Linked DNA regions of Saccharomyces cerevisiae S288C. The protein of the gene in region 2 interacts with the protein of the main gene of each other region in a biochemical or structural test. Each region holds a gene or a part of one and is shown on either strand. Other genes may lie near its edges.

Region 1 (3,406 bases), on a different chromosome or scaffold from region 2:
AGCTTATTCAAAAAAAGCACTCACGATGGGGGTCGAACCCATAATCTTCTGATTAGAAGTCAGACGCGTTGCCATTACGCCACGCGAGCTACTGTTTGTTGGAAGTGTTGAATCTCAAAATCAGAAGCGTCAGTATGACAATACTTCAACCGTTCATAAAACACATATGAAACAACCTTATAACAAAACGAACAACATGAGATAAAACCCGGCCTTCCCTAGCTGAACTACCCAAAAGTATAAATGCCTGAACAATTAGTTTAGATCCGAGATTCCGCGCTTCCACCACTTAGTATGATTCATATTTTATATAATATATAAGATAAGTAACTGAAGAGTGGGTGAATTTTGATGATAATATATTAGTAACGTAAATACTAGTTAGTAGATGATAGTTGATTTTTATTCCAACAATTATCAATCCTTGTATTTCAGCTTCCATTGAAAACGATGACTATTTCTCATCATTTGCCGTCATCTTCTAACACCGTATATGATTATATACTAGTAACGTAAACACTAGTTAGTAGATGATAGTTGATTTTTATTCCAACAGTTACGTAAACCGTTATCAAATAGATACGCTCAAATTCAATTCTGATTAATTTTCATTGGGGCTGATCGTTTCGCTGCAAGTTGTCATAGTATTATTTATTTATTAATACCTTAGATTTTCTTGACAATTAACCAATTTTTAATCATTAAACTTAATAATATTTAATGCTACTGTACTTTCTATTATTATTTATTATTAATTTATTTATTCGTTCATCTTGTATGTAATCGTCCTCCGTTCTTTTCCCTTTACCGCTGGCTTGCGCGCGATGATTTCCACTAAAAGCTTGCTTGGAAATCTCGATCACCGACATACGCCCTGAGAATGCTTATAGGAGCTATCGAGGCGAAAGAAGTGGGGGGAAAGTAATATCCCGAGAACGAAAACGCAAGGCTTATTGTCATGAAAATGCAAATGCACCGTTGACAAAACCAACCACACGATTATCACGACTACTACCATAATAGGTAGGCAATGAACACTTCGTTCAGCAAATGGGTCCAACACGAATCGACTTTTCGAGGCTTCTTCGGCCGTTTTCGGGCCAGTTAGTGCTGATTATATATCATACTCTAGTTTATGTTCGCTTTACGTATGGCAGTGTCTCTAAGCTATTCCGTCTTTTTAAGAAGCGCATCGATATTGGGATGCCGCCTTCGCCAGTAATTTTCCTGAGCTTGTCGTTCGATCTCCGCTGCCTTGAGCAAAAAGTTTCGATAATTCAGTCTGGAACTAGGAGAAGCTGACTCGATGGCATCTTCAGGCTTAGCGGTGACCGGAGAATTGCCAATTGACGTGGCTGTTTGCTTCTTGGGGGTTACTCCCTCAACAAGGCGTAGAAAATAACGGTAGCAATCCTCATCGCTGTAAAAGTAATACGGAGTATGCCATTGCCCATGATTAAACAAATATTGGTTCATGTTGTATGTGATGATCCTCCATTCTTTCCCTTCTACTGCCGGTTTACGTGTGATGACATCCACTAAAAGCTCGGTCCTAAAATTTCGACGACTGACTAGCTTTGGATTACCATCACCTAATATTATTAACAATACTACAAGAGAAAGATAAGCGTAGTATGCAGAATTGAAAACACAAGCTTCGTTGTCATTAAAAAATATAATTAATAAAACCAAAACCCCTATTACCAGGGACAAAATCATGACTGGTGTATAGCGAGCGATTTCATAGATCCAATAACTCAAGTACGAACGGAATATGTCCTTAGGAAGAGCCACATTTTTCTCAATTAAATGTGCACTAGGTTCGTTGAGTGTATCTAACTTGACGTCGGTACTTTCTAGAGGGGTCTGCATGACCAATATATACCTTGTATCGTCTATGACTATAGTATTCCTGATTGTCTCTGTGCCATTGCATACTGATCAAATGTTTTAATAACGCAGGACCCTTTTCACGATTGTTTTTCATCTCTAGAGGCATTTTCAATATTGCATTTTGCGAAGTGATGTATAATGAAAATGTGGTAATAAGGCAGTGAGCTACTTTGTCACAACAAAGTACGAGAACAGATGAGGTTCCGTGGTGTTTTTGGGGCAACTGCATTATTTGGAGCGCCGTATATATTTATATCCTATTACAAAAAATCATAAATGACACTAAATTTGACACCTACTAGTGTCGTCAATCGAGAAGTAGATCCTTTGTCAAGTTGTGTGCTAGTGTCTCCCGTCTTCTGTCTAAAAAAACTCATCGACACCAGGATACTCTTGTCGCCAATATTCCTTTTGAAATTGTTGTTCGATTTCGGCTGCCTTGGTGAGGAGCTTTATAAAGTTCGGTCCGGCACTAAAACTAGAAGACTCAGCGGCTTCGTTTGGTGTGCCAGCGGTTTCGTCATTTGATTGTGCGTCTTTAACATTGCTGGCTGACGATTCCTTTTGCTTCTTGAAAGTTCTTCCCTTAATAAGACTTAGAAAATAACGGTGGCAATCTTCATCACGGTAAAAGTAGTAGGGAGTGTTCCATAAATCGTTATCAAATAAATACTGGTTCATCTTGTATGTAATTGTCCTCCATTCTTTCCCCTTTACCGTAGGTTTCCGTGTGATAATTTCCATCAGTAGCTTACATTTGAAATCTTCATCACTGATCTGTGGTCCAAACCTGAGTATTAGAACTATCACTAAAATGCCAGAGAATATGAGGAGAAACCCTACAGAAACCCCAACGCAATTTTCGTTATCATGAAAAAGAATAATTATTGAGATTAAAACCCCAATTACTAGAGACAAAAGCATGACCGGTGTACAGTGAGCTGCTTCATATATCCAATAACTCAAGTACGAATGGAATATGTCCTTAGGAAGAGCCACATTTTCCTCGATTAAATATGCACCGGGTTCGTCGAGAGAATCCGACTTGGCGTTGGTATTTTCTGAAGGGGTTTGCATGTTGAATTGATATCTTGTCTTGTGTAAGGTTATTATATGGTTTTGGAGGTTGTTATGCTGATTCGAATTACGACTTGATCTTGATACTAATTGAGCTTTGACGAAATATTTTAGCAATTCAGAACCCCTTTCATATTCTTTTTCTTCTTTTCATTTTTAGAGGCGTTATTTCACTAATAGGTACAGCCTCCGAAATAATACGTAATTGAAGATATGATAATAACAGTACGAGCCTTTTACAGGGCCATTATGATCATGAGTGAGATCCAGAAAAGCACATTGCATGGCAGTCGGATGTTGAGAATTGGGGGAATTTTGAGATAATTGTTGGGATTCCATTGTTGATAAAGGCTATAATATTAGGTATACCTAATATACTAGAAGTTCTCCTCGAGGATATAGGAATCCTCAAAATGGAATCTATATTTCTACATAC
Region 2 (7,688 bases):
GAGAAATGGAACGACAATGTCAACAGGCAAAGTTGGGATCTGGAACAGATCATGAGTCAACATGGGTTTTAATGTGGTAAACAAGATGGCCCTTACGGGGCTCTTAGTGGGAGAAAGATTTTTAATAGAGCATAATTAACGGATACATAATATATTATAAATTTAAATAATCAAGGATACCTAATAATAATAACAATCAACTGAACACAACATTAAAAATGGTATTTGTTATTGTATGTTAAGCCCTAAGTGATTGTGCCGTTATAACTTCCATTCGGGTGATACCTGCAATATGAGGAAGAAAAAAGATAAATTTTTTCTTCTTAAAGTATAAAAGGCGGACATATTTGATTTAAATGCAGAAGTTTTCTCTCAGTGGTTTATGTTTTACATATGATAGAAAAAATGAAGCAATAGCAAAGTATCGTAGTGCGAACCGGTCTCGTAACTTTGATAAGTTTATCAAAGGCGTTAACATTTTGTTTCGTAATAGTACCTTAACACATGACGAAGATGAAAATTAAACATGAATTCAAGGAAAAATGGTAAATGACGAGAAAAAAGCTGTGCACCAGTCTGAACATGGATGCCACAAGTACTCAGGTGTCCTATGAAGCATTAAGTATACCCAAATTTCTGATCCATTTTCCTTTATTTTCTTTTTTTTTTTTCTCTCACATCTGTGACTGTATTATGAGCAAACTGTTTACGTTGAACGGAATCGATATGTAAATTAAATCTTTTGAAATATGTAGGACAGTGCTTGTATAGGTCTGTTAAGTAGATTATAGAATGTACGCCTTTTTTCTGGGCGTGAAATAGATCAGAAATCCTGTTAGGTTGCCACTGGTCCATTTCAGTGTTGCTCATCCAATCAATCATGTATTTACATGCCTGGAGTGGCCTATTCTATGTATTAACAGCCTTTGCAAGACGCGACATTGTTCTTTCCGATATGGCTCGGAGTAGACTAAATATGCTACTTATAGTTTTTCTTGCGTATACCATTGTCTTATAGTTTTTGCACACATTAATGTTTAAAATTGAAACTACGAAGCAAAACAATAAAAAAAACAAACAAAACTTAAAAATAAACAAAAGACGCTCGAAACCAAGTGCATTTATTGAATGTTTTTGGGAATGCAAGTAGCAATACTATTGTAAAAGTACTACTATTTCCCTGTATCATACGCTTTTACTACTATTCCTCACATAAAGCGAGATGCTTACAGAATGCATAAGAGAGAGAAGAAAACCCTATTACGCCCACTTGTCTATATTAGATTACTGTCCCTATTTATATCATCATTGCAAAACGTGAGCACCTCATTAGACGTAGATTCTTGCATAAGTATTACTAGCAGGAGAGGAAAAACTCCACCCACACACCTCAACATGCTGAGAATTTTGCTGCGAGCAGCAAGAGGCAAAATCCAAATTTAAAGTAATTTACGCATAGAAGACATTGTAAAGGGATTGCAAAGACGTAGAGTACGCAAGTTAGAAACCGTTCATCTTTTAAAACTCCCAAGTTTTGACAAATTTGCGAGTGTGTGTGTTTCTGCTGATCTTGACGAGATTAAACTTTGTTCCTGAAGCAACAACGACAGCAACTGAACATCCTCTGAATAAGTTAATATGTTTTCCGCTCAAAAGCCAATATATGGCAATGGAGCAGGCGTGAACATGGGTGGTGGTGGTCCTTCAACTAATAATCCAGGATCTATGTCCATGCCTGGGGTTCCAACTTCAATGGGTCCAGGCATGAATCAACAAATTCCAAGTGGAGGCCCCATGCTAATGGGCAATACTCCGAATAATAATAATAGCAATGAAAATGGCGAGAACAACGGCAATAACGGCAATAACGGCGGTAACGATGCTAACGCAACTCGAAACAATCCCAACATGGTCAATAATAGAGGCGCAGTGCATGCTCTAGATGATCCCAATGTATACCACTGGATTTGTCAATTGACCTACGGCCCTCAAAAGGAACAAGCACTGCTTGAATTAGGTCGCAAAAGAGAACAGTTTGATGACCTTGCCGTTGTGCTTTGGTCTTCCTTTGGTGTAATGACCTCATTGCTGAACGAAATCATTTCCGTATATCCCATGCTGCAACCTCAGATGCTCTCTAACAATCTATCAAATCGTGTATGCAACGCTCTAGTTCTTCTACAGTGTGTTGCATCTCACCCAGAGACAAAACATCTCTTTTTACAGGCCCATATTCCTCTCTTTCTTTTCCCCTTCCTAAATACTACCTCCAGGCAAAGAACTTTTGAGTACTTGAGATTGACTTCATTAGGTGTGATAGGCGCATTGGTCAAAAATGACTCACAAGACGTAATAACGTTTTTGCTAAGAACCGATATCGTGCCGTTATGCCTAAGGATCATGGAATCTTCTTCTGAGCTTTCCAAGACAGTCGCCATTTTCATTTTACAGAAAATCCTACTAGATGACGTTGGATTGCAATACATCTGTGCCACCTTGGAAAGGTTCTACGCCGTAACTAATGTCTTAAAAGATATGGTTGAGCACTTGACCGTGAGCACACCACCGGGACGACTACTGAAACATATCATTAGATGCTACTTAAGATTAAGCGACGATCTCGAAGCACGCAGGCTATTGAAAATAGTCTTACCTGCCAAACTGAGAGATAACACTTTTACGGAAGTACTAAGAGACGACGTCGGGTCCAAGAGATGTCTGGCACAATTGCTACTGACATTAAACGAAGAAACCTCATGATGCATCCCCATAGATATATTACTGTTTTTCTCTTTCTATTTTCCTGTATTGTTTTAACCTTGCCTTTTTGTTTTAGTTTCACTTCCTCACCTCTCCTAATTTTGTATAGTTATATTTATATGCATGAAATGTATAAAGTCCACTCATATTTCAGAATGGTTTAAGTTAAGTGCCAGAAGGTTCTTCTGTACTATTACTATTACCCATTTTTCATCCTATCACCCGGAATGTACCCCTTGTGTCATTCACTACGACGCCACGAACCACGATTCTATTTTTTTCGAAATCTAAAGGTTTCGTCAAGATCAATGAAATATACATAGGCGTTTTTTTGGATACGAGTTGCATTGTTGAGAACACAATTCTTTACAAATAAGTGCAAGGGAGGAATTGTGTGTGCTCATTACCAACGTACTTCTTCAGTTATTCTGCTAAACCCGTTTTTTTGTTCTTAGCTTCATCCAGGTGAGCCCGCAAACATTACAGAACGACGTATAATACAAAATAACTAAACAAATACGGATAGGACAAAAGCCAAGAAGCGATACTAAATCACAGAGCGAATCAACATGTCTGCACATACTTACAAAAAGTTTGAAAACTCGACCTCGGGCGATTTACCTGATAAAATGACCATTTATCAGGATTGTATGAACACGTTTAACGAATCACCTGTCAATTCCAAGAGATGTCGTTTATTGATTTCTCGCTTGCTGAGACTCTTGGCCCAGGGCGAAACCTTCCCACAGAATGAAGCAACTGCATTATTTTTCTCTATCTCCAAATTATTTCAACACCAGAACGATCCTTTAAGGCAGGCTGTTTATTTGGCAATCAAGGAATTGAGTGGCATTTCGGAGGATGTGTTGATGGCAACCTCTTCAATCATGAAGGACGTTCAAAACGGTTCCGATTTGATTAAGCCTGACGCTATTAGATCGCTGACTTATGTCTTGGATGAATCTACTGCTTTTTCCGCTGAAAGGTTATTAAAAAGTGCCGTGGTAAGTAGACATCCTTCAATATCCTCAGCAGCATTATGTACTTCTTATCATTTGCTGCCCATTTCAGAAGTCACTATCAGAAGATTCACCAATGAAACTCAAGAAGCTGTTTTGGATTTGAAACAATTTCCAAATCAACACGGTAATAGCGAATATTATCCAAACTCCACTTATATTTCTCAATATCATGCTCTTGGGTTGCTTTATCAACTGAAGAAAACTGATAAAATGGCGTTACTAAAATTGGTTAGACATTTCTCTGAAAACAATTCTATGAAAAATCAATTGGCCAAGGTAGAATTGGTCAAGATTGTCAACGATTTGATTTATAGGGATCCTCAATTATTTAGTCAATTCAGGCCACTTTTGTCTGATTGGCTATCCAACAAGTTCGAATCTGTTCAGTTGGAAACGGCGAAATTGATTACTTCTTTCGCTACTCGCAATTCCCGCTTAGTGGCTCCCGAGTTATATGCGGCAGCTATCAGTGCTTTACAGTCCTTACTGACCGTTCCTCGTGTTTCTTCTAGATTCGCTGCATTGAGAATCTTAAATAGAATATCCATGGTTTCACCAGAAAAGATTGTTGTTTGTAATCCTGAACTAGAATCTTTAATTAATGATTCTAATAGAAACATTTCTACTTATGCAATCACCACTTTATTGAAGACAGGAACTTCCAAAAATATTTCATCTCTGATTTCGACTATTACTAATTTTATCCATGATGTCAGTGATGACTTTAAGATCATTATTATTGACGCCGTTCGTACGTTGTCTTTGAACTTCCCACAGGAATGGAAGTCAATTTTGAACTTCTTAATCGATGTTTTGAAAAATAGTGAAGGTGGATTCAAATTTAAAAACAGTATTGTCGAAGCATTAATCGATATTGTTTCATTTGTTCCACAGTCTAAAGAACTCGCCTTAGAAAACTTGTGTGATTTCATCGAGGATTGTGAATTCAACGAAATACTAGTGAGAATACTACATCTTTTGGGTAAAGAAGGTCCATCTGCCCCAAATCCATCATTATATGTTAGACATATTTATAACAGAGTGGTGTTGGAAAATTCTATTATTAGATCTGCTGCCGTTGTAGCTTTATCTAAGTTTGCTTTGACGAAGAACGATCCTACCTTATATGAGTCAATCATAAGTTTGTTAAAGAGAATCGCTAATGATAAAGACGATGAAGTCAGAGACAGAGCCACCATTGCACTAGAATTCATTGATTCGGCTAGGAATAAAGATGATGTTATAGCACAAAATCTAATCGAATCCAAATATTTTTACGATATTCCATCATTAGAGTCAAAATTAAGTTCTTACATTTCCTCAAATACTGATTCATTTGCAACTGCATTTGATGTGAATCAAGTTCGTAAGTTTACTGAGGATGAAATGAAGGCAATAAATCTGAAGAGAAAGCAAGAACAAATTTTCAATCAAAAGTCTGAAACCACTTTGGATACTACACCAGAGGCAGAGAGTGTTCCAGAAAAAAGAGCTGACGCTAATTCATTTGCTGGTCCAAACTTGGACGACCACCAAGAAGATCTACTAGCTACTAAGTACGCTGACGAATTGCTATCCATTGAACAAATTAAACCATTTGGTCAATTAGTAAATAGTTCTAGGGCTATCTCATTAACTGAGCCAGAAGCAGAATTCGTTGTACGTGGTGTCAAACATCTCTTCAAAGACAATGTTGTTTTACAATTTAATATTACGAATACTCTGACGGATATTGCCCTAGACAATGTTTCTGTAGTCTGTACCCCTGAAATTTCTGATGAAGCTGAATTAGAAGAGCTATTCACCCTACAAGTGGACAGATTATTACCATCCGAGGAAGCAGCTTGTTACGTTGCATTCAAAAAACTTGATGAAATTGTAATGGAAGGTTTCTTGAACAACTTAACATTCACTACAAAAGAAATAAACCCTGACACTAATGAGCCATTTGATGGTGATGAAGGTTTCCAAGATGAATATGAAATTGACTCGATTTTCTTGAATGCTGGTGATTATGTTAAGAGTTCTTTCACTGGTAACTTCTCCGCTACATTTGATGAGTTGCCATGCGAAGAAGTTGCTGTTTTCAACATTCAAGAAGATTTATCCATACAAGAAGTAGTAGATAAGATTATTTTGAACAGTAGCTGCTTACCGGTGGAAAGTACCCAATTTGCTCCAAGTGATTCAAACTCCCACACCTTGAAATTATTTGGTAAGAGTGCTTTAACTGGATCTAAAGTAGCCCTACAGATTAAGATGATCAAGAGTTCGAAAGGTCTTGCTTTGAAAGTTCATGGTAAAGGTGAAGACAGCTTATTATGCTCTGATCTGGTGAATGGTCTAATGCAGTAAGCTGTGAAATTTTATTTCAGTTAATCCCTTCTTTTGTTATCAATAGTATTAAAAGAAATGCGTCAGCTTTAGCAAGCGTGCATGCAAATAAGGGAATGAACAGCAAGAACAATAATAAACCAAAAAAATCACGGATAGAATATGACGGATCATCACCACACGAAGAATAAATTATGTAATCTTTGTATAAACAAAATTTTTAAAGAAAAATACTATAATAGTTTGACAAGAGAAAACGAAATGGAAGAAACAGGACAACAGGGCAGAAAAAAGTTGACATTATGCAATTGATGAAAGAAGAAGAAGAAAAAAAACAAAAAAAAAGCACTAGTCTGACCAGGCATATTGTAAAAGGCTGCAGACCCTTGAACGCACTACACTTTTCACTGTATTCCGTTACCAACATTACTGTTTGACAGCGATGGATGCTGATGAATTGGAATTGAAAGGTCATTTGAAAAAATTGAAAAAAGAAGAATTGCTTAGAAGGAAACAGTTAAAAGAGAGTAATCTTCAGAAAAGAGAGCTTGAATATAATAATGCCTCAAAAAATACTTCAATATATATTTCTGGTCTTCCCACAGACAAAACAACGAAAGAAGGACTCACTGAGCAGTTTTGCAAGTATGGAATGATAAGAACCAATCGAGATGGGGAACCCCTTTGCAAGCTATATGTGAATGATAAAGGCGCTTTCAAAGGGGATGCCTTGATCACTTATTCCAAGGAAGAAAGTGTTACATTAGCAATCGAAATGATGAACGAGTCGATCTTCCTGGGAAAACAGATCAGGGTCGAAAGAGCCCAATTTCAAAACAAGGAAGGTGACAATATGCACGGGAAAGAAAATGATTTAAAGGAGTTCAACGGACCTGAGCCTCCAATAAAGAGGCTAAAAAAAGCGAAGTCTGAAGGGGAGGGGGAAGTAATAGATTACAATGACGATGAAAGCCTAGCAAAAGCTGATCGAACGGTGATATTTGCCAACGTATTCAATATTTACAAATCATACACAAATGATGATATAAATGATATTCAGGAAGATCTTTTGGAAGGCTGTGAAGAGATAGGTCAAGTAGACAGTATATCTGTATCTCCCAATAAGGGGGAAGCGACGGTCGTCTTTAAGAACAATAAAGTTGCATTGCAATGTTGCAAAATCATGACCGGACGTTATTTTGATGGGCAAAAGTTGCTTGCTTTCATTTCTGGAGATGAGAACACTTCAAGCACAAGTGACAAGAATGAGGACAGCGAAGTGGAAGATGACCTTATATAGAACTGCAGTAAAAAAATGTATTACCCCCATATCTTTGGTACTTAAGTAAAATAAGTGAACACAATGTAATAAACAGAATGGATTAGGGCTTTATGACTTCCCAGTACAAAATAAATGTCGATATAATACTTGAAAATGCAAGCAATGCCATCAAAAAATTTGAGCGGTACGAGAATCGAACCCGTGTCCCCACCTTGGAAGGGTGGGATGATAACCACTACACTAACCGCCCATGTGTTGGATGGTGTAACTGTAATGACGAGGTAATAAGT

What was found.
Region 1: the proteins of SEC21 (region 2) and MST27 form a complex in vitro, tested with the Saccharomyces cerevisiae proteins (one study listed by BioGRID).

Annotation. Positions count from the first base shown.
Region 1 is NC_001139.9:402,153-405,558, reverse strand, and holds MST27 (DUP240 family protein MST27), read right to left. Parts: upstream 1,873-3,406; coding exon 1,168-1,872; downstream 1-1,167. Other genes in the region: pheromone-regulated DUP240 family protein PRM8, read right to left, coding at 2,257-2,970. UniProt on the Saccharomyces cerevisiae protein: Involved in protein trafficking vesicle formation, probably by stabilizing of coatomer at the Golgi membrane and thus allowing the efficient formation of COPI coated vesicles.
Region 2 is NC_001146.8:88,665-96,352, forward strand, and holds SEC21 (coatomer subunit gamma), read left to right. Parts: upstream 1-3,329; coding exon 3,330-6,137; downstream 6,138-7,688. Other genes in the region: PCL1 (Pcl1p), read left to right, coding at 1-72; CCR4-NOT core subunit CAF40, read left to right, coding at 1,639-2,760; U2 snRNP complex subunit CUS2, read left to right, coding at 6,559-7,416. UniProt on the Saccharomyces cerevisiae protein: The coatomer is a cytosolic protein complex that binds to dilysine motifs and reversibly associates with Golgi non-clathrin-coated vesicles, which further mediate biosynthetic protein transport from the ER, via the Golgi up to the trans Golgi network.